4 linked regions of the Stegostoma tigrinum genome follow. The protein of the gene in region 1 purifies or fractionates together with the protein of each later gene. This does not show direct contact. Links are inferred from orthologs where the notes say so. Each region holds a gene or a part of one and is shown on either strand. Other genes may lie near its edges.

What was found.
Region 2: the proteins of cttnbp2nlb (region 1) and strn3 purify together in Homo sapiens (affinity purification with mass spectrometry; 4 studies listed by BioGRID and IntAct, with this or other methods). This does not show direct contact. The link is inferred for Stegostoma tigrinum from reciprocal best matches to the Homo sapiens genes CTTNBP2NL and STRN3.
Region 3: the proteins of cttnbp2nlb (region 1) and serine/threonine-protein kinase 24-like purify together in Homo sapiens (affinity purification with mass spectrometry; 3 studies listed by BioGRID and IntAct, with this or other methods). This does not show direct contact. The link is inferred for Stegostoma tigrinum from reciprocal best matches to the Homo sapiens genes CTTNBP2NL and STK24.
Region 4: the proteins of cttnbp2nlb (region 1) and strn purify together in Homo sapiens (affinity purification with mass spectrometry; 5 studies listed by BioGRID and IntAct, with this or other methods). This does not show direct contact. The link is inferred for Stegostoma tigrinum from reciprocal best matches to the Homo sapiens genes CTTNBP2NL and STRN.

The regions. Positions count from the first base shown.
Region 1 is NC_081374.1:6,853,015-6,860,611, reverse strand, and holds the start of cttnbp2nlb (CTTNBP2 N-terminal like b), read right to left. Parts: upstream 3,006-7,597; 5' UTR 2,397-3,005; intron 159-2,396; 5' UTR 88-158; coding exon 50-87; intron 1-49. UniProt on the Homo sapiens protein: Regulates lamellipodial actin dynamics in a CTTN-dependent manner. Associates with core striatin-interacting phosphatase and kinase (STRIPAK) complex to form CTTNBP2NL-STRIPAK complexes.
Region 2 is NC_081363.1:61,112,597-61,119,678, reverse strand, and holds the start of strn3 (striatin-3), read right to left. Parts: upstream 3,019-7,082; 5' UTR 2,860-3,018; coding exon 2,620-2,859; intron 2,466-2,619; exon of another isoform or gene 2,412-2,465; intron 1-2,411. UniProt on the Homo sapiens protein: Calmodulin-binding scaffolding protein which is the center of the striatin-interacting phosphatase and kinase (STRIPAK) complexes.
Region 3 is NC_081359.1:18,049,361-18,056,998, reverse strand, and holds the start of serine/threonine-protein kinase 24-like, read right to left. Parts: upstream 3,006-7,638; 5' UTR 2,615-3,005; coding exon 2,573-2,614; intron 1-2,572. UniProt on the Homo sapiens protein: Serine/threonine-protein kinase that acts on both serine and threonine residues and promotes apoptosis in response to stress stimuli and caspase activation.
Region 4 is NC_081357.1:94,950,808-94,958,657, reverse strand, and holds the start of strn (striatin), read left to right. Parts: upstream 1-4,831; 5' UTR 4,832-5,178; coding exon 5,179-5,415; intron 5,416-7,850. UniProt on the Homo sapiens protein: Calmodulin-binding scaffolding protein which is the center of the striatin-interacting phosphatase and kinase (STRIPAK) complexes.

The sequences.
Region 1 (7,597 bases):
ATTAGACAGATCGAAATGGAATCAGGCAAGTTAGTGCAGCTGCATCTACCTGTACAACAATGGAGTCAAATTGGAGGAGTGCGACATGACCAACCATTCCAAAAACCGCAGACAGAGAAGGATGAGGGATAAAGTAAAGAACTGCAGATGCTGGAGATCTGAAACAAAAACAAAGTGCTGGAGAAATTCAGTGGACTTGGCAGCATGAATGATGATCTGTAGAGTGAAAAACACTGTCATTTTGCGTCTACTCACCCTTCATCAGAAATTAAAGTGGCTGGGAAAACAGAATATTTACGCCGAAAGAAAGAGACTACATGGAGATTAAGGAGTGTGTACCTTTGCCACAGTCACCACGGTGTCATTTGAGAGTTTGCAGAAGAGAAATATAGCTGGAACAGGTTTCGAAACTAGCTACTGGACAGCTGAAATGTCAGTAGAGAGGCAGTTACCAACAGTGAGACAGTTATAAACAGAGGGTGACTGACAGGATGAATTAATTCAAATCGCTCTCATTGTCAGGCTTAGTGGCCTCTTTCTGGAGAGTAGGATTCAACTACACAATTAGTGCCCACTGATTAGAGAGAACTATTACCACAAAAAGCTTAAAGTGTATTGAATAGAACAAAAAGACTGTTAATCATAACTTTGACTTCAAAAATTACTACATATGGCTAGACTTTCAACAACTGATCGTACTTTAAATGCAAATTCATAGGCTTGTTATAATAGTAGTGTGATAATAGCCATCTATTTATACAATGACAGCAAAGCACTACTTGCAATAACACAACAAATAAGCCCATGTGAATAATTGTATGGAGAACAGACCTTAGTCAATTAGAAAAAAATAGAAGAAATGAGTCAATGATTCAGAGTATGAACGAATTTTGAAATATAATCACAAATGGAATAGTGAATTATTTAAGAAATGGAAATAATTTGCTCTTAAAACAAGAGAATATACATTTTCTTTCGATAACTACCCTCTAAAATACCTGTAATGCAGTACAAAAACTGGTCATTTCACTTGTTACTTCCATTAAAATAGTTTGCCCCAAGCAGAGACATAGCTGCAAAACAGAGCTGTTTTCTTTAATTTATTTGGAATTAGTTTTGCTTTATTAAAACAATGGGAACTCTAAAATTCTACGGTAAATATAAAATACAACTTGTTCTTCCAAATTCAAATCAAGGAACTCAAATTTATAGATCATTTTTCATACTTGATCCAAAACTATCTCACATGGAATTAAGTACCTTTTGAGTATAACAGTGTTAAAACTTATCTTTTACATAATACTATTCATGGGCTCAAGACTTCTCAATGTAAATTATAGTCAACTTTTGAAGTATAGATGTAGTGCAGAAAACAGAACAGCCATTTTGCACACAGAAAGCTCCCACAGGCAACAATCGCTAACTGATGTTGCTCAGCAGTTTGGCTAAGTCATAAATATTGATCCAGGTTATTGTGCAGAACTCCTCAGCACTTTTTTTCCCCCAAATAGTACACATTGGGTCTTCAATGTTGACCCAAGATGATGGGACATTGGTTCAACATCTTCTCTGAAAGTAAGTGCTGCAAACTTCAACTTGAATTATAGGCTAAGTCTCTGTCTCATTGTTTAGGTACTGGTGAAAAAAAGAGTCATTGATTCACACACCATCAGGTCCCGGAAATGGCAATGAGGTAAATGCTCAGTTAGCTCATTCCCCTCAACAATGGGAGATGGGGAGTGAACTTCCCTGCCTGAGCTCAAACAAACCTTTCAGGGATTGATTCTGTCCTCAGGCTTTGCTTTATTTCTAGTGGAACAAGAACAAGATTTACTAAATAACTGCTGGAATGAAGCCTTATAACTCCAGCTGTGGTTTTAGTCATTTTGGCTTCTTAAAACAGTGGGAAAAAATATCAGTGCTGATTCCCTAATGGTGTAACTGCACCAAACACAAATTAAATAATGTTCAGGAACATACTAGAGCAGAAATTATGATTTCTTTGCTTCATTAAAGAAAAAGCACTTGGTCCTCAAGCTTTTTAATCTTTTTCCAGCGCAGATAAAATTAACATTTTAATCTTTGTCTAATTGTTGAGGCAGTGGATTTACAAAGTGCAAATCGGAAAGGAAGGTACACAACATTATAAGACTGTCTGAGGCAAATCCATCCATTTTGTTGCTCTGCATGAAAAGAAGCCCTGAAGTGACTGGGAAAAGAAAAAGGAATAAAAGAGAAACAAAAACAGTGGGAAAAATTAGAATAAAATTGAGGGGATAAAAAGAAAAAATAAAATCGTGAGAGAAAAAAAGACTCAGAAGCAAAAATCATCAAACACATAGCATAATCACGAAGAGAACTATGGAGCTAAGGCAGTTTTTTAAAAAAACACTTACATTTAATGCCCCTTTGCTCTCCGAAGCCGGTGGAAAATCTCAGATCTTTTTTTCTCTCTCACTTTTTTTTCCGCCCGCCTCTTTCGACCTCGGGACGTCATCGAGGTTGTCTGACAGCCGTTCTGTCCAATAGGTGGCTCGGATTGCTGCACTAGCGAGCCAATCATATGAGGTCTGGGGGCGGGTTAAGGCCGAGCCACGCCCCGCACGTTCCCGCCCGACCGTCGGCCTGCGAAGGTTTGCGCGTGCGCGGTGGTTTCCCCACAACCCTTTCCGGAAGGGGGCGGGCAGAGTGTGAGCTCCGCCCAAGAAGTGGTTCGGTTCTGAAGAAAGGCTGCCGGACCCGAAATTGTTAACTCTGATTGTTTTTCCTCACAGATGCTGCCTGACCTTCTGAGCTTTTCCGAAAACTTCTGTTTTTGTTCCTGATTTAAGCATCCGCAGTTCTTTTGGTTGCTAACTGTTTCCCCTTGTCCCAATCTCTACGCATGCGCACATGCGAGATCCGTCTCCAGATACATGGGCGGTGCTCGCCCTTACTCCGCCCCATTCCGCGTTTACCGCCGTTAATCAGATTCTACACATGCGTGACGGTGTGTCCGAACCCCCTCCCACTCTACTAGCGTGGCTCATTCGCCCGACACAAAAGTCAGTCAATAGTTACGCATGCGTAACTATGCGACCCGTCTTTCCGCCGCGGACTGGAGGGGCGTGGCTTTCTGCCACAACACACGTCAGTCAAACATCTCACATGCGCAGCTGTGACACGGCCGAACGCCCACCGGAGTACGCATGCGCATTATGTTCCGCCCGCGGGCCCCGCCTTCTGCCGAGGTCTGTGCATGTGATTATGTCGTGACTCCGCCTCCACCGGAGGCTTCCTTTGTTTCACCCGAGCTCCGCCCCCTGACGGGATTGGCAGGTTAAACGCCAGGGAAGGGGCGGGGCCTCATCCAGCAAACAGAAGCCGTGTTCTCTTCTGAAGTTTGCAACAAGTTGAATTGAGACGAAGTGTAGCGCTTTTCTTATACTTGGTATGTATGTGGTTGTAAATTTAAGTATTTTGTTTTTTGCATGATTGAGAAGGACATAGGAAAGTGTGAACTTTATTTGCAACGTGCATTAACAACTGTTTACATTTATCTACTATTTATCCACAAGCTCAGGGCGTCGCTGGCCAGGTCAGTATTTAATGCCCATCTTTCTGAAGAAGGGTTTAGACCCGAAACGTCAGCTTTCCTACTCCTCTGATGCTGTTCATCCAGCCCTACACCTTGTTGTCTCAGGTTCCCCAGCATCGGCAGCTCCTACTACACGTGAACTGGACGCGTTTTTTTTCCTGACCATTGACAACGGATTCATTATTAATTCAGATTTTCCTCCCCCCCCCCCCCCCCCCCATTGCATTCAAATTTCATCATCTGCCATGAACCCATGTGTCCAGAACATTAGTGATAATGGGAACTGCAGATGCTGGAGAATCCAAGGTAATAAAATGTGTGGCTGGATGAAGGGATGGGTGAGAGAAAGAACAGGTTAGGGGGGGGCAGAGACAGGTTGGACTGGTTTTGGGATGCAGTGGGTGGAGGGGAAGAGCTGGGCTGGTTTTGGGATGCGGTGAGGGAAGGGGAGATTTTGAAACTAGTGAAGTCCACATTGATACCATTGGGCTGCAGGGTTCCCAAGCGGAATATGAGTTGCTGTTCCTGCAACCCTCAGGTGGCATCATTATGGCACTGCAGGAGGCCCATGATGGACATGTCATCTAGAGAATGGGAGGGGGAGTGGAAATGGTTTGCGACTGGGATATTGTTTATTGCGAATGCTTGGTTTCCCCAATGTAGAGGAAGCCACACCGGGTACAGTGGATGCAGTATACCACATTGGCAGATGTGCAGGTGAACCTCTGCTTAATGTGGAATGCCATCTTGGGGCCTGGGATAGGGGTGAGGGAGGAGGTGTGGGGGCAAGTGTAGCATTTCCTGCGGTTGCAGGGGAAGGTGCCGGGTGTGGTGGGGTTGGAGGGCAGTGTGGAGCGAACAAGGGAGTCACGGAGAGAGTGGTCTCTCCGGAAAACAGACAAGGGTGGGGATGGAAAAATGTCTTGGGTGGTGGGGTCGGATTGTAGATGGCGGAAGTGTCAGAGGATGATGCGTTGTATCCGGAGGTTGGTGTGGTGGTGTGTGAGAACGAGGGGGATCCTCTTAGGGTGGTTGTGGCGGGTGCAGGGTGTGTGGGATGTGTTGCGGGAAATGCTGGAGACGCGGTCAAGGGCTTTCTCGACCACTGTGGGGGGGAAAGTTGCGGTCCTTGTAGAACTTGGACATCTGGGATGTGCGGGAGTGGAATGCCTCATCGTGGGAGCAGATGCGGTGGAGGAATTGGGAATAGGGGATGGAATTTTTGCAGGAGGGTGGATGGGAGGAGGTGTATTCTAGATAGCTGTGGGAGTTGGTGGGCTTAAAATGGACATCAGTTACAAGCTGGTTGCCTGAGATGGAGACTGAGAGGTCCAGGAAGGTGAGGGATGTGCTGGAGGTGGCCCAGGGTTCGGCTAGGTGGATGAGGGTGTCAGTAGAGGGGGACTGGTCTTCCCCTCCACCCACTGCATCCGAAAACCAGTCCAACCTGTCTCTGCCCCCCTAACCTGTTCTTCCTCTCACCCATCCCTTCCTCCCACCCCAAGCCGCACTTCCATCCCCTACTTAGTAACCTCATCCCACCTCCTTGACCTGTCCGTCTTCCCTGGACTGACCTATCCCCTCCCTACCTCCCCACCTATACTCTCCTCTCCACCTATCTTCTTTTCTCTCCATCTTCGGTCCACCTCCCCCTCTCTCCCTATTTATTCCAGAAACCTCACCCCATCCCCCTCTCTGATGAAGGGTCTAGGCCCGAAACATCAGCTTTTGTGCTCCTGAGATGCTGCTGGGCCTGCTGGGTTCGTAGTTAATCTGCTTTATCTTCATGGCAGGTTTGGCAGCATGAGTGTCTACAGGAAACTTCTGCTTCTGTCTGTTTCAGATCTCCAGGATTTGCTTTTCTTTGTTTTATGTAAGCATTGACTCATCAGGTAAAAAAATACCGTGCTGCAGGCAAAACGGACACCATGATGGCAGATCCATCGGGAGTAGTGGAAATGTGGAATTACAGATATAATCAGATCATCTGTGATGTTGTCAAATGGGGGAGCAGGCTTCAAGGGGCAAATGGCCTCGTCCTGGTTTGTTTGAGGTTAAATCCTGATTCGATGTCTGTTCAATACTCTTTGTCTCATTGTGAATCACATAATTGTTATTGTGCAGAAGGTTGTCATTTGCCCCATCCTGTAACTCTGGCTATCTAAGCGTTTTAACTTTATGCCAACGCCTCACCTTTTCGACATAACCCGACTCATTGTTCCTATTTAAATAATCATCTAATGCCCTTCTTGAATGTCTCAATTGAATCTGCCTCTACCACATTTCCAGACAGTACACTCCAGACCTAAACTACTCGCTGTGTGAAAAGGATTTTCCTCACCTCATGTTTATCTTTTGTGAAACACTTTAAAACTGAACCATCTGGTTCTTGAGTGGGAGTGTCATTTCCCAATCTGCCTTTCCAGATCTCTCATGAATTTTAATACTTTTACCAATTCTCCCCAATGAAAAGAGTTCCCATGTTTCCAGTCTTTTCTCATGACTGAGTATTTCATCTTGAGAACCATTCTTAATAAAAACCAAAAGAACTGCAGATCTTGTAAATCAAGACAAAAACAAAGTTGCTGGAAAGGCTCAGCAGGTCTGGCAGCATCAGTGAAGGAGAAAACAGAGTTAACGTGTCGGGTCTGGTGACCCTTCCTCAACTTTGGGTCACTGGACCCGAAACAATACCTCTGTTTTATCCTTCACAGATGCTGCCAGACCTGCTGAGCTTTTCCAGCAACTTTGTCTTTGTCTTTGTCTTTGTTCTTAAATTTCTTCCCCACTTCTCCAATGCATTCACATCCTTTCAATCATGTAACGTTCAGAACTACACAATATAGTATGCCAGCTAACGCCTAACCAGTGTCTTACAAATATTCATCATAGCCTTCATGTTTTTGTACTTTGTGCTCCTATGTATGAAGTCAAGAATAATGTGGGCTTTATTTACCACTCTCTATCTGTCCTACTTCTTTAGTGATCTAGGCACGTGTCCATTTGCTCCTGCGCACACTTCAGAAGTGTTCCTTTATTTCGTACTGTCTGTCCATGTTAGTTGAACTGACTGCATTACTTCACACCTTTCCGCATTGAGCTTCATCTGCTGCCTGTCTGCCCACTCCACCGTTTGCGAATGTCCTCTTGAAGTTCAGGCGTTCTTTTCTGGATTTCAATTTCACCAAGATTTGTTTTGTCCCCGAATGTTGAAATTGTCGCTTGCACATTTTGCTTGATTTTATGTAAAATCGGGGAAAAGCAAGGGTCCCAAAACTTTCAGCTGGGCAGCTATGCTGCCAGCCTTTATCTAGCCCAAAGAATATACATTATCCACTACCCTGTTTCCTATCAGCCAATTTTGTATCTGCTACTGCTGTTGCCCCTTATATTCCATTACCTACTTTCCTCATAACTCTATTGGTGTGGCATTGTATCAAAAACCTTTCTGGCCTCTTGTTCATTCATCCCTGATTTTAAGCATTCCATCACTGGCAGCCAGCCTTTGATTGCCAAAGCATTAACATCCAGAATTCCTTCCCTCCACCTCTGTGTCTGATTTTTCTGCTTTCAGGCCCTCATTTAAAATATATCTGTTTTGAGCAGCATTTTGGTTTCTGGTCCTAATAGCTGCTTTGGCTTGCTATCAAATTTATTTGATAATTCTCCCGTAAGATGCCCTGATGCCTTACTTTGCCAAAGGTTCTATATAAATGTGAGTTGTTTCAACCCTGCAAGGAGTTCCGTTTTATTTCAAATGACCCTTTGAACGTGAGAGATTTATGCCCACTTTGAGGCATGTTTATGCATGTAGTAAAAGCAAGTCCTTTTGAGAGCAACCCTATAATACTGTTTATGCCCCTCTTCACCATGGGTGACCTCTTTAGTTATGGGGGTCACCATTGCTCATAAGAGCAGGCAAACAGACCTCATCACAATGTGCTGCTTATTTATTCTGCAAGGCAACGAGGTTATAAAGTGACTCCATTAATAAGGAACTTGGTTTGTTTGTGTGTGTCT
Region 2 (7,082 bases), on another chromosome or scaffold:
ACTGCTGGGTCTGTATGTGCAGGATAATAAAAAAAGCTTGCTGTGTTGGAAAGTATGGATAAACAAAGGGATCGGGATGTCTTTGTAAGCCGATCAATGGGTGGGTGCACTAGCAATTTGGAAGGCAAACTGGGGTTGCCTTAGATTTATAGGACAGTGCTGGTTGTAGATGCTGGTGTGTTCGTTGATTTGATAGCAGATGTTTTGTCCCCTTACTACATGACATACTCAGTGCTGTTGTCTTGTGCCAGTTTGAATTTACATGGTCTGGTTTTTGCTGCTTCTGGTAGGTGCCAGTTCTGGCTGTGCATTGTAATGGTCAATATATTGAATCCAATTCAATGTGTTGGTTGATAGAGTCCTCAGATGAATGTCAAGCCTCCAAGAATTCCATGGCTGTCCTCTGTTAGATCCAATAGAAGGATGAAACGGGATCTGACTGAAATGTATAAAATTCTAACACAGAGATAAATTGTGTACGCTTGTTGGTCTAGGGGTATGATTCTTATCGTGTAAATTCTAACACAGCTGGACACACTGGATAGTGGGAAGATTTTTTTTCCTGATTGGGAGTCCAGAATCAAGGAACAGCATTAAAATATGGGTTAAACTATTTATCTGCACATCTTCCCAGTGTCTGTGTGGATTTCTTCCAGGTACTCTGGTATCGTTCCACAGTCTAAAGATGAGCAGGTTAGATGGACTGGCCATGCTAAATTGCCCACAATGTCTAGGGGTGTGAGGCTAGGTGGAAATGCAGTGTTACAGGGAGGGCTATGGGATAGGTCTGGGTGAGACGCTCTTTGGAAAGCCAGTGTCCACTCAATGGGCTGAATGGTCTGCTTCCACATTGCATGGATTCTATGATTCTTCAAAGGGTAGTTAATCTGGGGAATTCTCTACTACTGAAGACATGTATGCCAAATTACTGAATGTATTCAAGAAAGTGATTCCTTTTTAGATTTTGAAAGTATCAACAGGCATGGGAAGAAAGCAGACATATGGTCAGCTATTATCATACTGAAACCTCGAAGGCCCAAATAGTCTGCTCCTAGTTTCTGTGATTCCAAGTACAGTATATAGTATATGGTTTCAATTAATGTAGGATAAATATTTTGTTCCCAAAACTACAAATAAAACATAAACTACATCATTAAACTTAATTCAAGAAAAATCTAGCAGTCAAAATCACATTTACTCAAAAGGTCTAGCAAAATTAAACTACTGGTTGATATTAATGATAATATTTAATTATAAAAACTCACAATATAAAGAATCCAGGTACACCAATTTTAAATACTGAGATTAATTAGTGACAGTGAAGTAAGTCACTGCCTTGTATTTTAAAAAAGGTTGCATGTATTCAAAAGTAACAAAAAAAATTTACTTATTACCATATTGTCAGTTAGAATGTAACGACAAGTAGCATTTCTTCAAAAAAAAAATACATTATCAAGTTATTTCAAAACACTTCAAGATTTGAATTTTAGATCTGAAGTGTAGTTGCTTTAATGCGAACAAACTGCATCCGATTTCTATATAAACTCAAACATGACTAGTTAATCCATTTAGTGCTGTTTTAAGAGTAAGTGATCTGTGAGAACTCCTAAATTGTAAACAGTACCAAAATTATTCTTGAAATCAACAGACAAACATGGCCTGTTTACAATTTCACCCAAGAGATGGAACCTCTAAAAACGCAGCATTGTCCTCAACATTACAATGCCTACACTACCTTTTGTTGCAAACTGTTTATACAAACAGTTGTCTGTCTTAAAGTAATATTTTGAAGACACAAAGGGTATCTTAACAAGTCATGTAACATATAACAATGCTGCTGTTAGAATTAACTTCAGAAATGGATATATGGTATAATGACACCACCAAAGTGAACGAGGAATTGAGATCCTGCATTTTGCCTTAAGCTGTCCATCGTTACAACGATAAACAGTTACCACGATGTGAGAACATGCATTTGTTTAAATGACAGGATCGCAATGAAACTGCAAGTGAATTAAAACGATATCGCGTCAGTCAACTGAATGTCAAGTCTATGCCCGATGTGGTCAGTGCCAATTTGTCGGATCACAACTGAATCGCTTCAACACAAACACATTTATCCAGATTGACAGTTTCAGGCAAATTATGAGAACTGAGTCATATTCTGCATCAAGGGCTTATGCAATGCTACCCAAGCAACGCTCAAACAATCCATTCTGCAAAACCAGACACCCGGGTCTGAGGCTCCCCGTTTGATCAGAGATGTAAGAGGCGCACACTGTCCGACAACAGCATCATTCGGTAACAAATCAGGAGAAGCAAATTAAGTTGAAAACCAGGACCATCAGACGAACCTAAGGTCCATGAGCACCCACATACAAACATGCTCCCAGTTATTTACACTCAGCTGTCCGGCGCCATATTGGAAACAAAAATGGCGGCGGCGAGGATAGCCTCACACTTGGGTAAATACTATCCGCTCTATCAATCCTCCTCCGAGCCCCGGGCGAACACTGAGCACACAACCGTATCGCTCATTCCGAGTTCGACGTCCCCAGCTGTAGATCAGCCCTCCCCGGACCCCCAGACCCGCTGTGCGAGCACTGCTTGTCACTCTACCTGAAGCTCGGCCCTCTCCACCTCCCAGTGCGCTCGCTCCATCTCGAAGCGGGCCCACTCATGCTGGATATAGTGTAAGATGCCGGGGATAGTGTACTGGGGCCGCTGCTGCAGTTCCTCTAGCTGACCCTGCTGCTGCTGCTGCCGGACACCGTTGTTGTTGCTGCCGTTGCTTCCCGGGCCCAGCAAAGGACCTCCGGAATTGTTTTGTGAGGACATTCCTATCGGATGTTCGTCCATGTTTATTATTGTTATTACTACGGTGGTATTGTTATATTAGTGGGAAGGGTCCGCGAAGGAAAGTAACCGGATGAGTTTCAGCGTCGCAAGCGAGCCGCCATTGCCCTTCTGTCTGCAGAATATGGCGGCGGCGCTGCGCTGTCGGTGGAGGAGGAGCAGCCGCGGCCCTTTGGCCAAATACAGCAGCAGCGCTAGTGCGCAGGCGCGCCTCACTGGCCCACACACCTGCTCAGTGTCTGCAGGCTACTCACTAGGACCTTACCTGTCGTTTCTACAGAGAGACTGAAAAGAGCGTGTAAGACAAATGAAATGAGATTCTCCTTTTACGATCAAAGTATCAGTTTCTATTCAGATATTACTTCCCCTAAGAAACGGTCTGGTGCGATTCAGTTTAATTTAAAATGTTTGCTCTTTTTCCTTATTTCTAATCAGTGATCGCATCACTTTTGCGGATACTATTTAAGACCCCGTGTGTTCAGATAATTGAGTTTTATTTAACAGAACCTGCTAATGCAACAGGAAAGAGTTTCTGTAACTTTCTACAATAATCCTTTAACTTGAAGCTAAAATTTTCAGCATTGCACCATTCTGGCTGACAGGAGCTTGTTGACTTTTTTTGTTGGTTTTGCTAGGGTAGAGGTTCAAGTGTATGTTCCTGTGCTAAAGAGGAGAACCAGCCACAGTCTTATTATTGATCACTGCCCAGTTCTTTTTACTATTAAGGGCTACAGTCTTAATTATCCATTCATTTCTCATTGTCTGAGTTTACGGAAAGAATAATCATGGTGAAAGATGCCAGAAGGCTGACTATATCCAAGACACATAAGTAAAACCAGGTGTGGGTTATCCTGCAGACCTTCAAGTCTGCTTATCTACTAAATATAGAATCCTACAGTGTGGAAGCAGGCTATTCCACCCATCACATTTGCACTAACCCTCTGAAGAGCATCCCACCTTATTTCCTGCAACCTCCTATGGTTCACCCACTGAGTCTGCACATCCCTGAACATTATGGGAAATTTAGCATGGCATGTCTTTGGACTGTGGGAGGAAACTGGAGCAAGCCAACACACATCTAGAGAATGTGCAAACTCCATACAGACAAGTCACTCAAGGGTGGAATGGAATCCTGGTCCCTGATGCTGTGAGACAGTGGTGTTAATGACTGAGCCACAATGTCACAACAAATCTTTTGCATCAGTTTTGTTTTCTTATCTTCTCCCATTAATCTTGATTATGTGAGATCAGAAATGTATTTGTCTGGAGAGTTCACACCTCTGTAGAAAATTCTAAAGATTCACAGACCTCTGAGTGAAGAAATTTCTCTTCATGTCAACCCCAAGTGATCCTTAACCTGAAATTGTTCCCTGGTGATCAGAGATAATGGGAACTGCTGTGTTCATCCAGCTTCACACTTTGTTATCATTGATCCCTGGTGCCCTAGATTCCCTAGACAGGAGAAAAACCTTCTCTCTTTAACCTGCGAAACCACTTCAGAATCTTGGATAAGAAGGTGTAGAGCTGGATGAACAAAGCAGGCCAAGCAGCATCATAGGAGCAGGAAAGATGATGTTTCGGGCCTAGACCTTTCTTCAGAAAATTAAGAAGGGCCTAGGCCCGAAATGTCAGCTTTCCTGCTCCATTGATGCTGCTTAGCCTGCTGTGTTCATTCAGCTCTACACCTTGTTATCTCAGATTCTCCAGCACTTCCTACGACTTCAGTTTCAACTACTTGCATGTTTCAACGAAATCACCCCTCATTTCTTTAAATTCCAGAGTGTACAGATATAATTTACTTAGAATGAATGGAATGGGTAGAAAACTGGATGAAAAGAAATTATTATAAATTCTGGAATAAGAATGCAATTAGTTAGTAACATTCGCAGTCAAAAACAAAGATGTCAGTCAGTCAAGATACCATGTACATCATGAAGATCTGCAACATTCAACTCTGTAGCATTATCTGCTCTTCCGTTATCTCAACCCATGTTGCATTGAAAACACTGATTCATTGAACTGACCCTTCCAGTTTTAATTATTCAATTATTCTTCAGTCCAACTTCCCATTATCCATGGTCCACAAGCTAAAATTACAAAACTCTGTTGTCTTTATTCTAACCATGGCCCGACCATGTATTTGCAGGCATTTATTAACTTTTGATCACCTCCATGAATAAGCTCTTGATCTCTCATCCTAATCCTGTTGCTTCGTGTTACTTTTCCTTTGCCTCTGTCAACATAAGTTTAAAAGGAACCTGAGGGGCAATGTTTTCATGCAGAGGTTGGTTTGTGTATCGAACAAGCTGTCAGATGAATTGGTGGAGGGAGGTACAATTATATCATCTAAAATGCATCTGGATGAGTACATGAACAGGAAGGCTTTAGAAGGTTATGGGCCAAATGCTGGCAAATGGAACTACATCAGTTTAGGATACTTGGTCGGCATGAACAAGATGGGCCAAAGGGTCTGTTTTCTGTACTATATATCTCTGACTCTGTCTCTATGAATATACCAACATACAAATTAGGAGCACGAACCAGCCACTTGGTTCCTTGAACCTGCTTCACTTTAAAGACAATTTATAAAGGTATATTTTTCATATTTTGTTCCTTAGAAGTCCTGGAGATAGTCTCTGCACTGATACAACTCTAATCCTGTACCAGTAGCTATCAGAAGTTCTTTTCAAGCACTTATTGTTTACATTTGAGTCTGAATATTAGTTGTTAGTAAGCAGTCATAATGGCCCAATGGTAACATTCTCAAATTTTAGTCGGAAAGATACAGTTTCAAGAGTACGTATGTCAGAGCAGTACTGAGTGGATGCTTCTTTGTTCAAATCACAGTCTTTTGAACGAGACATTAAACTGGGCCATGATCCAGTGATTAAAGAGGAAGAACGAGTGTTTGGCAAATTTATATCCCTCAATCAAAATCACCAAAAACTTGTTAATTTGTAGTCTGTTGCTGTGCACCAGTTTGCCTTGTTTATTTGAAAACCAGCCATAACTACATTTCAAGAATATTTTATTTTGTGAAACATTTCAGGAAACCTCAATGTCTATTTGGTGTTAATTGAATGCACTTTTTTGGTTTTATAGACCTACATAGCAATGCTCGGGTGCTGTGCTCACATAATGTGATGTTTTCCAGCAGTAGTCAGTAAATAATGAAAAGATAAAACCTTGGATGTTATTCTCAATCCACGGATTCATAGGTCAACTACAAGTCCCCAGTGCTGCTTTGACTGACGTGACTGAATTCAGTATGGACCAATGAACAGAGCTCGCACTTGCAAGTACAGCTGAATGGAACATGGCACAACTTCCAGCTGAATGATTTGGTCGGTGGGAAGTGGACAGCTGTATCTGTTTTTATTGATTACACTATCAACAGTTCCTAAGTACAATTCTTCAATCATACTGAATTGCCATTAGTCCTGAGTGATTGGTCAACAATGGAGATTTTTACTTTGAGCTATGAATGGGGTTTCCCATCACGTCAACCAATGATGATAAGATAATTATAGTGTCTGCATAAGTTAATTGGAATTCAACTGCAGAAATACTGAAGTGGAAGTCACTGTAACCATGAGCTACATTCATGCCTGCATGAGGCAGCTGTTAGTGTCTTTAATGTGACTCTTTCAGTTGCTGGTTTTCAGTAGCAGAGGATAGAAGAGTCTGAAAATAGTTATCCTATATTGTAAACAGCCAGAATTATCTTCAGGATACATTCTATTTAATGAATAACATCTATTTTCAGTCTAATTTTCCTTGTCCATATCAATCATTGCTTTAAAAATAAATGTTATAATTCAAAATACTTTCCATTTGAGTAATTTTAGTTCTTTTCCATCTTCTAATAATGCTATATTTGCTTCATGCCTTCAAAGTGTTACACTTTGTTACAGGAAGAATCAAACTTAACCAAAATACATTGAGGTCACACTGACATAGCATTTCAGTCTGGTTCAAACAGTTCCTCATCTCTTTAGTTCTTGATATGTTTGATATCAAGATGATTGAAGTCCTGCTGTCACATAGTAGTCACTTGTCTTATTAAGGAAATGTGTAGGCTGATTTGGCAATAACTGTGATATTGTCACTTTTGAACTTCTATCTGATTTGAGATTGTTATTTAGCTGATGCTCATTATTTTAACATTTTGATTATATGAAGTAACTGTTAAAATTGTTTGAGATACTGACACAATACAGTACGTG
Region 3 (7,638 bases), on another chromosome or scaffold:
TCCCCTGCAATCGCAGGAAGTGTAACACTTGCCCCACACCTCCTCCCTCACCCCTATCCCAGGCCCCAAAATGACTTTCCACATCAAGCAGAGTTCACCTGCACATCTGCCAATGTGGTATACTGCATCCGCTGTACCCATTGTGGCTTCCTCTACATTGGGGAAACTAAGCGGAGGCTTGGGGACCACTTTGCAGAACACCTACAGTCGGTTCACGATAAACAACTGCATCTCCCAGTCACGAACCATTTTAACTCCCTCTCCCATTCCTTAGACGACATGTCCATCCTGGGCCTCCTGCAGTGCCACAATGATGCCACCCGAAGGTTGCAGGAACAGCAACTCATATTCCGCTTGGGAACCCTGCAGCCCAATGGTATCAATGTGGATTTCACAAGCTTCAAAATCTCCCCTCCCCCCACTGCATTCCTAAACCAGCCCAGCTCACCCCCGCCTCCCTAACCTGTTCTTCCTCTCACCTATCCCCTCCTCCCACCTCAAGCCACACGTCCATTTCCTGCCTACTAACCTCATCCCACCCCCTTGGCCTGTCCGTCCTCCCCGGACTGACATATTCTCTCCCTACCTATCTTCTCCTCTATCCATCTTCGATCCGCCTCCCCTGCTCTCCCTATTTATTTCAGAACTCTCTCCCCATCCGCCTTTTCTGATGAAGGGTCTAGGCCCGAAAGGCCAGCTTTTGTGCTCCTAAGACGCTGCTTGGCCTGCTGTTCATCCAGCCCCACACTTTGTTATGTTGACTGATACCTAGACTGCTTCCAATGCAAGTATATCTTTCCATTAGATAAGGGGACCAAAACTGTTCACAGTATTTGAAGTATGGTTTGACTAATACTGCCATGTATAATTTTATAAAGAACTTTCTATTTTTATAATCTATCTCCTTTGAAATAAAGGCTAACAGCCTATTTGCCTTCTCTACTAATTGCTAGTTTAGGTGCTAGTTTTGAGAGATTCATGCATGAAGACATCCCTGTGTGTTTCAGCTGTCCACAATCATACCACATTTATATAACATTCAGCTCCCCTGTTCCTCTGGCCAAAAGGCATAAAGTCAGATATTCCCACATTCCTGAAATTCCATTCCTATCACCACTGTGGGTCAACCTACAGCATTATCTGCACCAGTCCAAGGTGGCAGCTCACCATCACTAGGGTAACTAGGGACAGGCAATAAATTCCAGCACAGCCAGCAACATGCACATCCAAATGTGAATAAAAAAGTTTACATTCCACCTAATAGATTTTAGCCCACTGTAGATTTCTGTAGACTCTATCATCCTTATTATCACATCACCTAGTTTGTACGATGTGCAAATTTGGTGATCGTACTGACTTCCGTCATCCAAGTCATGACTACATGTGGCAAATAATTATGGAACCAACATTAATCACTGTGACACTCACTCATTAGAGGTTGCCATTCCGAAACTAGACCTCTTTTTCTTCAGAGGTAGTAGGAACTGCAGATGCTGGAGAATCTGAGATAACAAGGTGTAGAGCTGGATGAACACAGCAGACCAAGCAGCATCAGAGGAGCAGGAAAGCTGATATTTTGGGTCGAGACCCTTCTTTTCTGAAGAGGCCCAAAACATCAGCTTTCCTGCTCCTCTGACGCTGCTTGGCCTGCTGTGTTCATCCAAGCTTCACAGCTTGTTACCTCTTTTTCTTCAATTGGTTAGCTAATTATCTCTCAATACTAATATATTACCCACTACCAATGTTCCCTCTCCCTCAGAGGGACAACATATGTCAACTGGTGCGCAAACACACTGACGCCCAATTCCAATGTTACTGTCCCACATAAGGCATGGAGGTCCAAACAGCCGCAAGAAAAAAAACACAGCGTTGTGCCTTACACCAACTCCTAAGTAGCCTTACGTTTAATACCTTGTGGAATACCTTTTGGAAAATATATACCACATCTTCTGATTTCCCTTTATCTATCTTGTTTGTCATCTCCTCGACAATCTCTATTAAATTTGTTAGACATGATTCCCCTTTCATTAAGTCGTGCTTGACTATATTAAGTATTTCTAAATTCTCTGCCATAACTTCCTTTATAATTAATTGACGTTTTCTGAATGATAGCCATCATTCAGTTGCCAGGGCTGTAAGTTCTGGAAATGCCTCTTTAAAACTCACTGCCTCACTCTTCATTATTAAGGTTAAAACCAAATCTCACTAAGCCTTTGGTCACCTATCTTTAGCATCTCAGTGCGACTGGGTGAGGCTGGTATGCAGCTTCCGTCGTTAAAGGCTGTTGTTTGGTTGGACAAGTGTTGCAGAAGAAAATTGCATGCCAGCCGAAGTTTTCCTCTTGTACTCATCAGGACAGGTGAAAGGATGCCAATGCCTGGACGCATACCTTTTACCTGAGCAGGCCAAGTAGCTGAATGTGAACATTCTTGACCCGTACAGAACCAAATGCTTTTCTTCAGCAAGACCCAAATGTTAAAAGATGCTATAAACAGACGCTGCTGTAGCCCTTGTTGTTAAAGCCTGGTGGGCAGCCTCTTCCCCAACCCCCAGCCTAGCCTCAATCTCTTACCTGTACCCCGGGCAGAGTGGCCTGCTCCGGGGACTGAGCCATCCCGCCGGCCCTGCTCGGGATTCCTGAAGGGGGAGGGGGTAACAGCCCGAGTGTCCTGAAGGAATCGACACCGACCAAGCGCCTCAGCCAAGGTGGGTTTTTTTTAAATGGGGGTGGGGGGCAGTCAGTCCAGGTTAGGCCCCAAGCCTCAGCCCCCGAATGGGGTGCGGCCCGGTCTCATAAACCCCCACAACCTCCGACACCGATCGCTTTGTAGGGCTGAGGACAGTGCGGAGCGGAGGCTGCGTAGGAAAAGGTGAACGAAAAGGTCTGGAAGTGACTGACTCCGCCGCCGGTCGAAGGCAACAGTGACCGAGACTGGGGAACGAGCTCCGTTCACTGGGGGGAACGGGGCCTGGGACCTCCCGCCTCCCGGCGGCGCTGCAGCCGGAGGCGGGGCAAAGGGAGCGTGACGTCCCCGACATCCTGCCCGCCCCCTCATCCATCGTCATTTCGCCGGACCTGGGACTTCCGGCGGAGCGGGAGCCAGGGGCGGAGCGCAACAGCCAAGCAGGCGGGGCCAAGGCCCGGCGAATAGGCGTCAATGTCGACCTCCAGCCGCCCGAGGGCGCGGTTACAAGCAGGAGCTGATCGGATGGAAGGCGGGGCCTATTATATTAGGCAGGGCGGGGCTCCATGATCGACCTCTTCCCGCTGCTGTCATTCACGGAGACCGCCGAACGGTGGAGGGGGGTTGCAGGTGGAGCGGGCCGGCAGGATTTAGGTAACCAGGTCGGAAGGTTTTGTTTGTCGGTGGTTCAGGCTCAATGATCCCGTATATATGATTAATCAATTACAGCTAATTAATTAGGACTTAGAATTAACGCAGTCCGGTTCGAGCGCCTGTGACCCAATCTCACTTAAAAAGAGGTCCATCGGGCGGAAAAGGCTGTGGCGAGGGTTTTTTTTAAAAATTAAAAATAAGAGGTGTGTGAAGCCAACAAGCTGGGCCTTCATAGATAAGGTGTAGAGCTGGATGAACACAGCAAGCCAAGCAGCATCAGAGCAGCAAAGCTGACGCCTCGGCCCAAGCAGGGTTAGACTATTGAACCCACTGAATCTGTTCCATTATTTAATGAAATCCTGGCTGATGTGATAACACTAAACTTCATTTTCTGACCTTTTCCACAACCCTTGAATCTCATACATATTAAAATCCTATCTTGAATGTACTTAATGGCCCAGCTTTCGCAGCCCTTTGCATCATGATCTGTACAGATTCACCATCCTCTGAGGGAAGAAATTATCTCGCGTCTTATTTTAGTTTTGTGGCCACTGAGTCTGAGATTATGCACTGTGGTCCTAGACTGTCCACAAAAAGAAACAACCTTTCAATTTCCCCCAAGAATCTTGAATGTTTCAATTAGGTTGTCTCCCATTCGTCTTGAATTCCAATTAGTGAAGCTTTATTTACTCCACAGGGTGCTCGAGTGCACACCAGTGGATGCAATGATGATCTCCTGCCACCAGGGGAGGCTGAAAGTCACTTTTATAGGAGGCAATTAAATGCCCTGACACCAGAGGGTGCCAGAATGCCTTCCGGTTGGACCTGTGAAGTCCTCAGGATACCAGAGAGAACACCGCTACTGGAACAACTTGGCTAGCAGTATGGCAAATTCTAAAACAAGTCTTCGTTACTGTTAATGGAATGTAGTCAGGGCCTACAGTCTTTGTAATGCCCAGTACCTCCAGCCATATCTATTAAAAAAACACATGGAGTGATCAAGTTAGCTGAAGACTGGCATCCATGATGCTGTGGATCTTTGGAGGAGACTGAAATGGACCATCCGTTTTGTATTTCTAGTTGTTACATATGCTTCAGACTTATCTTTTGCACTGATGTGCTGGGTTCCTCATTATTGTGGATGAAAATATTTGTGCAGCCTCAAACTCCAGTGAGTTGTTTAACTGTCCACCATTGTACACAACTGGATGCAGCAGGGTTGCAAATTTAGATCGGATACATTGATCCTTGGTTTGTTTGGCTGACTTTTGTGTGCTGCTCACGGAGGTAGTCCTGTAGCTTCACCAGGTTGGCACTGTATTTTGTTGGCTTGTCTGGTGTTGTTCCTGGTATACCATCTGGCATTCTTCATTGAACCCCTTTGCTGATGCCCTGATTTGAAGGTAATGGTATAGCAAGTGATGAGCCAAGCCAAGATGCTACAGATCGTGGTTAAATACAATTCTGTTTGAAGACAAACAGTACCTCATGGGTGCACATATTTGAGTTGCTCCATCTGATTGAAGTTTGTCCCATTCAGCTCAGTCGTAGTGCCACACAACATGAATAGAAGAGATTCTCAATGTGAAGATGGGTCTTTGTCACATAAGGACCATATGATGGGCACTCCTGTATTGGACAAATGCATCACCGACAGATGAATTGGTGAGGACAGGGCCAAGTAAGTTTTTCCTCCTGTTGGTTCCCTTACCACCTGCCGCAGTCTCACTTTTACAATTATGTCCTTCAGGACTTAACCAGCTCGGTCAACAATGGCACTGCCGAGCCACCCCTATTGGCAGACATTGAAGTCCATTGTCCAGTGTATATTCTGTGCCATTGCCAGTCTCAGTGCTTCCTCCATGTGGTACGCTGATTGACCAGCTGATAAATGGTGGTGCCATTGATGGTAATCAGAAGGGGGTTTCCTTCCTGATGTTTGACCCAATTCCGTGAAATTTCATGGGTTCTGAAGTCCAGTTTGAAGACCTCATGAGGACATTGACTGCAAGGTATGATTTGGAAAATATGACTGACAGGCTGTTGCTTGACTAGCCTGAGGGACAGCTCTTCCATGACCTTCCCAATATTAGCAAGAAAATATTTGCAGAGTTGGCAGGATTAGGTTTACCATTGTCATTCACATGTCTAGACCAATGCCAGATAGTTCACCTAGTTACATTCCTTTCTTTAGGCTTCTTAACATTTTTGATACAACTGGGCAGCATGGTGGCTCAGTGCTTAGCCCTGTCGGTACTCAGTGCCAGGGAAACGTGTTCAATTCCAGCCTCGGGTGACTGACTGTGGAGTCTGGAAGTTATCCCCATGTCTGTGTGGGTTTCCTCCCATAGTGTAAAGCTGTGCAGGTTGGGTGGATTGGCCATGCTAAATTGCCCAGGGATGAGGAAGGGTCACTGGACCCAAAACACTCATTCTTGTTTTTTTTTCTTCACAGATGCTGCCAGACCTGCTGAGCTTCGCCAGCAACTTTGTTTTTGTTCCTGATTTGCAGCATCCACAGTTCTTTTGGTTTTTATTCAGGATTGTCAGGAGTTTAATTAACATTCAATATTTGTAGTGACTCTGGGAGCAGTGGGACTTGATTTCCAGTGAGTATGATGCCAGTGATATTATTGCTACAGCACTGCTTCCCCCTGTGTATGCTTTGGGATTATCTGAAATGCTGAATCTCATAGTCCAATGCATAATCCACAATAGAACACATATGAACACAAACTTACCTCTGGAGTATTGTCCTGAAGCAGTCAAACCTCTTTGCTCTGGACGCCAAAAAATCATGGCAAACAAATGGTGAATTATATTAGCCCAACTTGCCAACCAGGACTGTCAACATGAGGGAAATTCTCACAGAGGTATTTATGAGTAGCAAGATCTGATAATGCCATTTCGAGCTCCATTTAATGGCATGGATCACTGCTTTCCAAAGAGTAGTACATGACAAAACAGTTCATACTTTAAACCTCAGTTTTATACTGTCACTTTGTAAATCTGCTTGAATGAATGAGACGCAATCCTAGTACGAACCCAACAGGTATATTCAGTAGCTGCCTGTGCTGAGTATTATTTTAATAGAGAAAACCTTCAGAGAGATGAAGCACAGAGGGATATGGGAGTCTCATACTTAAATCACAAAATATTAGCAGACAAATTCAGCAGGTCGTTGGGAAGACAAGTAAAATGTTGACCTTTATTTCAAAGGGAATAGTGACTTAACATAAGGAACTCTTGCTAAAACAACACTAAACACTAGACAGACCACACCTAGAATACTGTGAATAGGTTGGTCTTTTCATCTAAGGAAATGTTTACTGGAGTTGGAGACAGTGTTCTGTCTGTGGATTTTTTTACCACAGAGTGCTTTTGAGGCTGGGTCATTAAATACGTCTAAGGCTGAGATGGACAGATTTCTAACCAGTAAAGAAATCAAAGGGCATCAGGAAAGTAGAGTTGAGGGTGATATAATCTGTTGTGAGCTCATGAAATGGTGAAACAGACCTAATCTGCCTGGACAGTCTACTTTTGCCCCTAATAAACACATAAATGAGTGAATCATTTTAAAGTTTTAGATGCTATTTGAGGAGAAGAGAAGCTGAGGAACTTATTCACTACAGTATATAAATGAATATTTGGAGTGTTAATAAAGCACTAAGGATATCTTTCACCCAGGAAAAGATTTGAAGAGTAGTTGAGATTGTTAACAAGCTAATTTAAGTTGTCATAGAGTCATACAGCATGGAAACAGACCCTTTGGTCCAACCAGTCCATGCCAAACATAATCCCAAACTAAACTAGTCCCACCTGCCTGCACCTGGTCCATACCCCTCCAAACCTTTCCTCTTCACGTACTTACCTTTTAAATGTTAACAAAATGTATTGCTAATGATTCCATAATATCACTTACACATGCTGTGGAGATGTCTTTTTTTTCTTGTCCCATTACCATCAACTTGACCTTGCACCTTCTACTTCTGTCATTTAATATCTCCTGCTTTGCATTTCTGTATGCTGGAGAAATGTGAACTGCTGTAAGTTATAAACTCAAAGTGCAAAACATATCCTCAGATCTTGAGCTCTGGGAGAGAAGAAAAACAAGTTTAAATTTGAAATGGATTAAAATACAAATATGTTTCACATACATGTAAGACACCATTTAACAGCCAGGGACCAATTCTAAAACAACATACAAGAGCAGATCACACAGAGTTAACATTTAGTTCAGTGACTTGCAGACACTCAAGAAAATCAGGTTCAAGCAGAGAAGATTTATATCTCATTAAAA
Region 4 (7,850 bases), on another chromosome or scaffold:
TGAGAAAAAACCTGTAAGTAGTGTTTCCAACAGTTTTATTTTTGCCCTATCTCATGTGTGATCCCTTTCCTTGTGTGATCAACACTGACTGTTTATTAACTATTTTACTGAATTTATGTTTGGAAAGTACTGTAAAGAAAAAATCACATTAAAATGATACATTTCAGGACAGCCATATTTGTTAGCAAGTTTTGAGAAGATTTGTAGCTCAGGTTGAGGTTCTGGATGTAAGTTTGCTTGCTGAGCTGGAAGGCTCGTTTTCAGACGTTTCGTCACCATTCTAGGTAACATCATCAGTGAGCCTCCGGTAAAGCGCTGGTGTTATGTCCCGCTTTCTATTTATCAGCGAGCAAACCCACATCCAGAGCCATATTTGTGTTCAGGACACCCCAAAGTGCTTTACAGCCACCAAAATTTTCTACAATGTGGATACCATTGTATTGCAGTGAATGTAGCAAGCAATCTCAATATACAACAAAGTTCCACCGACAGCAACTTCACAATCACTGGTTAATGTGTTTTTATAATTTTCGGTAAGGCAATATCATTGGCCTGGATATTGAGAACCTCCCTGCTCGTCTTCAACTGGTGGCTTGGGAAATTTTATGACCATCTGAGAGGTGAGACAAGGCATTGGTTTCATTTCTTTTAGTGTAACTATAGCAGTTCTGATAGCGCAGCACTCATTTTGTACTGGATTGGAAGTGTCATCCAAAACTACTTGCTCAAGTATCAAAAGGCGAACATGAAGTTTTGGCCTTCTGTCTCAGATGCTGGACTATTTTTCCTCCAATTTTCACCCTAGAATTTCTCATCTAATTTTGTTGTATTGCCTCTACATTTTCTGTATTTGGGTTGGTTTTATTTTAAATTATTATCCCAATAATTTTCTTTCTTCTCTTCATTTATCCACATTTTCTGCCTGTTGAGCAATGTCTGATCTGTATTGGAGTCATCTGCCTTTTGTACATTTCCTGGTGTACTTTACACCCTGCCCATTCTTCTACCAATTTATCTAGTTTAATTCCATTCTATTCTCATTAATATTGGCTTTTGCCTCAGTTAAACATTTTGATCGTTGGCCGCTCCTTCATCTGTCCAACTTTCAATTCAAGCTTGTATTTTCAATTGGCTCTTACCTACATGTATCCTTACCCTCATCTTACCAAATTGTTTCACTTCAACTTGTTAGTTTGTTTGTGTGTTTGTTTAATTACAACAAAAAGAGAAAATGTCGTAACTGCACACAGGAAATTTAGCATTTATGAATAACTAAGACTTGGCTGATACTGAGGCTAAATGACCTGCTGTGTATTTCTAACACTTTTTATTTTTAGCTTACATTTTCAGCTTTTACAATTTCCTTTCCTCTAGCAAAAATAAAGATAGAAAACATAAGAATATTCAACAATGTATAAACTTCAGGTCTATGATTGTTCATCAAAACAACTTATTCAATTTAACCTGCTACAAACTCAGTTTCACAAATTCTGAATTGTTAAAGAAAGAAAAAAGCTGCCTCTATGTAATATCGTCAGGACCACAGGAGCTCTCAAAATGCTTTAAAGCCAATAGTGGTATGCTATTCAAAAAGGGTGATAGGGATAAACTAGGAAACATCAGGCCAGCATGTGGAACTATTTGAAAACATTCTGAGGGACAGAATTAATCTCCACTCGGAGAGTCTAGGTTTGCCCATACAGCTTTGTCAAGGTAAGATAATGTGTAACAAATTTAATTACATTTTTTGAGGAATTGACTAGGTGTGTAGATGAGAGTAGTGCCATTGATATAGCCTACATAGACTTCAATAACTCTTTTGACAAGCTCTCGCATGGCAGACAAATTAAGAAGCTAAATATCCATGGGATCCGGGGCAATTTGACAAATTGGATCCAAAATTGGCTTAGTTGCTGGAAGCAATGTTTATAAGGCCAGTAAGTTCATAAATGACACAAAATGATATGGTAAATACCAAGGAGCAAAGCTTTAGTCTGCAGGTTAACATACACAGCTCATCAGATGAGCTGAACAGTGACAAAAAGAATTTAGTCCTGAAAAGTGAGATGATGCATTTTGAGACAAATAACAAGGTGACAGAGTACAGGTTTAACCCTCAGAAGTACAGAGCATCAGAGACACCATTAGAGTATCTGTACCTGGATCCTTGAAAGCAATAGGGCAGTAGATAAATATGGATAAGGCATATGGATTTTAGCCTTTGTTTTGAGGCATTATGTACAAGAGCGAGGAGGTCATGATGGAGGTGTGTAAAACATTAATTAGATCACAACTGGAGTGCTATGCGCAGATCTGTGTGCTGCATGAGAGGAACGATCTCATTGCACATGGTGCAGAGAAGATTCACTTGGACGTTGCCTGGGCTGGAGTGATTCAGCTATAAAGAGAGACTAGATAGGCTGAGGTTGTTTTAATTTGAGCAGAGAAGGCTAATGGGAGACATAGTAGAGGTGTTACAAAGTTATGAGGGGCATAGATAGGAAGAAACTTCTCCCATTGGTAGAGGGGCTAATAAACAAAGAACTTAGAAACAAGGTATAGGGCAGGAGGTTCAGAGGGGTTTGGAATTTATTTTCACATCTAGAGCAAACACCTAAAATAGTGGTATAGGAGGGAATTCTCGCAACTTTTGAGAAACATTTGGATGAGCAATTAAAATACTTCAATATAAAAGGCTATGGGCCAAGTGCTGAAAAATGGGATTGGATAGGTGTTTAAAATTTTTGAGAAGATTTGTTGCTTGGGTTTTAGTTCAGGTTGTAGACATGTTTGCCAAGCCAGTGGGTTTGGCTGCAGATGTTTCATCATCCTGCTAGGTAACATTGTCAGTCCATTTCTGGTTAAGCATTGATGTTCTGTTCCACTTGTTATTTATATGCCTCAGTTTGTTGGGTAGTTTGGTACCACTTCTGGTCTGTTTCTCATTGGTTTGTACATCGCATCTAATTCAGTGCATTTGTTATGGGAGTTCCCGTTAGAATACCAGGTCTCCAGGAATTCCCTGGCGCATCACTGTTTAGCTTGTGACATTATGGATGTGTTGTCCCTTGTTGTCAATGTGTAGTGAGACAAGTGAGAAATGGTTGTGTCTATTGGTGGCTAGTTGGTGTTTTTGTATCTGTATTGTCAGTTTTCTTCTGATTTGACCTGGGTTGTGTTTCTCACAGTCCTTGCATGGTATTTTGTATATTACACCAGTTTTGGGTATGGGATCCTTTATGTTTGTAAGTAGCTGTCATCGAGTGGTTGTTGGTTTGTGGACTACTTCGATACCTAGGGGTCTGAGTAATCTTGTGGTCATCTCTGAAACCTCATTGATGTGCAGTAGGGTGACTAGTGAGTCTGGTTGTGTTGTGTCTTCCTGTTGCAGTCTGTTGGTGGATTGTGCTTTTTGAGTATCCAATCCTTTTGAAGACTCTGTATAGATGCTCCTGTTCTGCTTTGTGTAGATCGGGGTTGCTGCAATGTGTTGTATGAAACAGTATCCTGACGCAGCTTTGTTTATGGGTGTTGATATAATTGAGTATCTGGTGCAAATGGGTGGTCTTTCTGTAAACGCAGGTCTGGAGTTCCCCTTTGTGTTTGCGTTCTACCTTTATGTCACTTTACCGATGATAGACAATAGACTTCTGAGATTAAATTGTTCTTTTATTGGCTAACCCAACATTTCACTTTTTGACTCTACACGTCTGGCGACTGACCCTCCATTGGATACAGAAAGATCCTGCCTTTCCCTCCGGAGGTACGAGGGCCTGAGAAAGGACGGCACAGATTTACAGACAATGGGAACTGCAGATGCTGGAAAATCCGAGATAACAAAGTGTGGAGCTGGATGAACACAGCAGGCCAAGCAACATCAGAGGACCACCTATCATGCTGCTTGGCATGTTGTGTTCACCCAGCTCCACACTTCGTTATCAGAGATAATGGGAACTGCACATGCTGGAGAATCCAAGATAACAAAGTGTTCCACAAAAATCACCATGAAGGGTCTAGGCCCGAAACGTCAGCTTTTGTGCTCCTGAGATGCTGCTTGGCCTGCTGTGTTCATCCAGCTCCACACTTTGTTATCGTGGGTTCTCCAGCATCCGCAACTCCCATTATCTCTCTCCACACTGTTATCCGGGCGCAGATTTGCTCATGCGCATTGCGGCTCAGAACCCGACGGCCTGCGCCGTTGCCAGTAGAGGACACGCCCACCATCGAGGACCAGAATGCACATGCGCGATAATAAAATGTGAGGCTGGATGAACACAGCAGGCCAAGCAGCATCTCAGGAGCACAAAAGCTGACGTCTGTCCCGGCACATGCGCGAAACTGGATATCCAGCGCAGGCGCAAAGCTGGTCGGCTTTAAATCAAAAAGCGCAGTTGTGCGGGGAGGTTGAGGCCCTGGGAGGCAGAAGAAGGGTTCGGACGGCGTGACGTCAGCAGCACTAGCGGCTCGCTTGAAGCTGTCGGCGCATGCGTAGATAGGGTCTATGGAGGGGTGGAAATTGATTAAGGATGGGGGCGGGTCCTCAATAGAGGTGGTAAAATCGGAAGTAGCTGGGAAAATTCAGTAGGGCTGGCATCATCTGTGAAGAGAAAGTAATTTTAATGTTTCGGGTCCGATTACCCTTCTTCAGAACTGAAGCCTTGACTCCACAGGTGCTGCCAGACCTGCAGAGTTTATCCAGCACTTTCTGATTTCCAGCACCGCACTGCTTTAGTTTTCCCTTTGGAGTGGAGTGGGGCTCTGAGGAGGACGGGCTAGAGGGATTCAGAATGGGGTCGAGAAAGTTGGGCGGGGTCTAGGGAGGTTGAGAAAAGGTCGAAGTTTGGTGCGGCGGACGCGCATGCGCCGGTAGCAGTGGGTGAGGCAGAGACAGCGGCCAACCGTCAGTGGGTTTGTTTGTGACAGCAGCGGCTTTATAACATCATCATCATCATCATCATCGTCATCAGCAGCAGCTCGATTCAGTCGAGGTCATGGAACGCGCAGAGCGGTTTAAATTTTAACGGCCGGCCCCGCGCGCGCGCGCCGCCGAGCGGCCAGAGGAAGTCCAGGGCCGGTGGACTGACCAAGTACCGGGGCGGCGTCACCGCCACCGCGGTCGTGGTCGTAGCCGCCGGCGTGGAGGCCGAGGGGACGGACGAAGGGTTTTGGGCCCCAGCCATGGACGAACACCCGGGAGCCGGGGTGTTCTTCGGCAATAACTCAGTGCTGAGCGGAGGAGGAGGCGGCCCGGGTATCGGGAGCAGGAACCTGCAGCCGGCGCAGCAACCGGGGCCCGAGGGGGAAGCTCAGAGGCCGCAGTACAACATTCCGGGGATCCTGCACTTCCTGCAGCACGAGTGGGCCCGCTTCGAAATAGAGAGGACGCAGTGGGAGGTGGACAGGGCCGAGTTGCAGGTAAATAACGCACCCCTCGGCCAGGCCGCGCTTCATGCTTGGATACTCGATTGCTGACCACCTCTCCCTGATCAACGGGGTAAGGGGGTGGTGGATACGTTAAGATGGCCGCCTGTCAAAGGAAGGAAGGAGGATAGTGTTGCTTTTTCTTCAAAGACCCTCAACTTTGCAGCTCTTCCCCAGTGACGATGACAGTTTAAATCAGAGGAGCTTTGCAACGACATTCCAAAAATGCCTTCAGTAATATTCTTAAACGGAATTGGGCAAGTTACTTGCAGGGGAAAGTTTGTAGGACCTTTGAAGAAAGAGCAAGTGGTCGGTATCGTTTTGAGTTCTTTCAAAGAGCCAGGACAGGCGCGATGGGTCGAGTAGACTTCTCGGTGCAGCCTGATTGTATGGAATGCTCCAGAAGAAATATGATCAGTTAATTGGCCAGGATTGTCAGTAGTTAAAGGGAGCAAACTTAAAATAGACAAGAGCACCAGAGGGACGAAGAATTTTTTTCTTGAGACAGCCATTTATGATCTAAATGCACCCTCTGAAAGGGGAGGAAGAACAGATTTAGTAGTAGTGGCAGTCAGATAAATACTGGGAGAATGGGGAGATTGCAGAGATATGGCTGAAGACCAGCGGAGTAGAAATAACTAGATAGTTTTGTCAAAGAATTGGAAGTGGAATGATCTGTGTGTTGGGACAACTGCACGGTTAAACAATCATGCACTTTTTGCTCCATCCACTAGCCTTTACCCTCACCAGTCCTGGTGATCCAGCCTGTATGAATTGATCGACATTAACTTGATTCAGCTAGACTGTTGGTTCGTTCTTGAGCAGTTCTGAAGGGCCTTGATTTAAATTGGTTGTACTGGAACAAGATTCAGTATTCTGAATTGAAGGGAGTCACCTTTGGCCTCATTAGAGATTTAAACATCCATGATTTAGCAATTTCTGCCCAGTGTTTTCTGTTGTTATCTATCAATGAATCATTGTAACCAAAGGTTACACAATGACATTCCAAAAGAAACACAGCTGTCCTGAATAGTATAATGTTCTTGGTATAGTCTAAAGGATTCCCCACAACGTAACAGGACAAAAATTGGAGTTTTTGATCATTATACATCAACCAGAGCACCACCTTTTAAAATTATAGTAATTTACACGCCTTGGTCAAGATCTGTGTGACATTCCTGAATTTGGTGTGTCTAATGGCATATCATCATGCCTAACATTATTGTTCAAGACTGCATTTCAACAACTTACATTGTGTCTTGAGTGTAACTTTTTTTAATGTTTAACAGTTGTTAGGAGAAATTGACAAAATTGCAGAAAGGCTTGACAGCATGTTGAAAAGAATTAGACAATGTCTTTTCTCCATTATTATAATAGAATAAACCCAAAGTTGAGATCGTTATGGGATGTGTACCTTGTGAGCTGTCTACCATTTACGTATTATCAAGGAGTAACCATGGGATACTGTTCATGCAGCTGGTTCCATTAATATTTCTGTTGCATTGTTTTAGGAATCTGCAGGATATGAAACACTCCCAGCTTTTTTATTTATACAAATAATGTAAAACCAAAAGGGAAGCTGAGACTTCAGTGTACCCTCTTATACTTGAAATATAATTTACTAAGCTGAATGTTCTGTGGCCGTGGCACTTCAGCATTCATAACCTTTAGCCTACGAAATCTGAATTCTTGAATTATCTATCAACTCAGTATGTGGAAGTATTTCTTCTGAAAGCTACCACTTTCAGTACCTTTAACATATCCCCACTGCTTTCCTGTTGCTGATTTCCCCCTTGAGTTTCTCTGACTTGTTATTGAAGCTAAGATTTTTTAAACAATTACCTATTGAAATGTCGGTAAAGTGCTTACTACAGCAACTAAAGCTACATGAACTTATATAGAACCTTTTAAACATTTTAAGGTGATTTGCAGGAGCAAATACCCTCATGGGGATATTGGGGTAGATGGCAACAAGCTTGGTTAAAGAAGGAGCATCTTAATGGAGGAGAGAGAGGTACTGTACTTTAGGGAAGGAATTCCAGAGGTTTAGGACCTCTGAGATATACCATGGGCCACAGTTTTGAATTACTGCACATTTTTAAATAGGGTAAAAAGTGGAGCTAGGATTGTAATATGTTGGCAAAATATAGAAGTAACATGAAGGTTTCAACAGAACGTGAGTTCAATTAGGCGATGCTAGAGTTGGAAATAAACAATTGTATTGATGGTATGGCTATGTAATTGGAATCTCATCTTGGTTAAAATGACAGGTTTACGTGTTCCCTGGTTCAGACTCTGGCAGCTGTGGGGGAAAAGAATGGAGTTTTTGGTGGGAGCAGAAACACCATGCTGCTTCCAATAAATTATAAATTTCAATCTTATGGTAACTTTTTACAAGGTGCTAATGAGACCCTAGCTGGTATACTGAG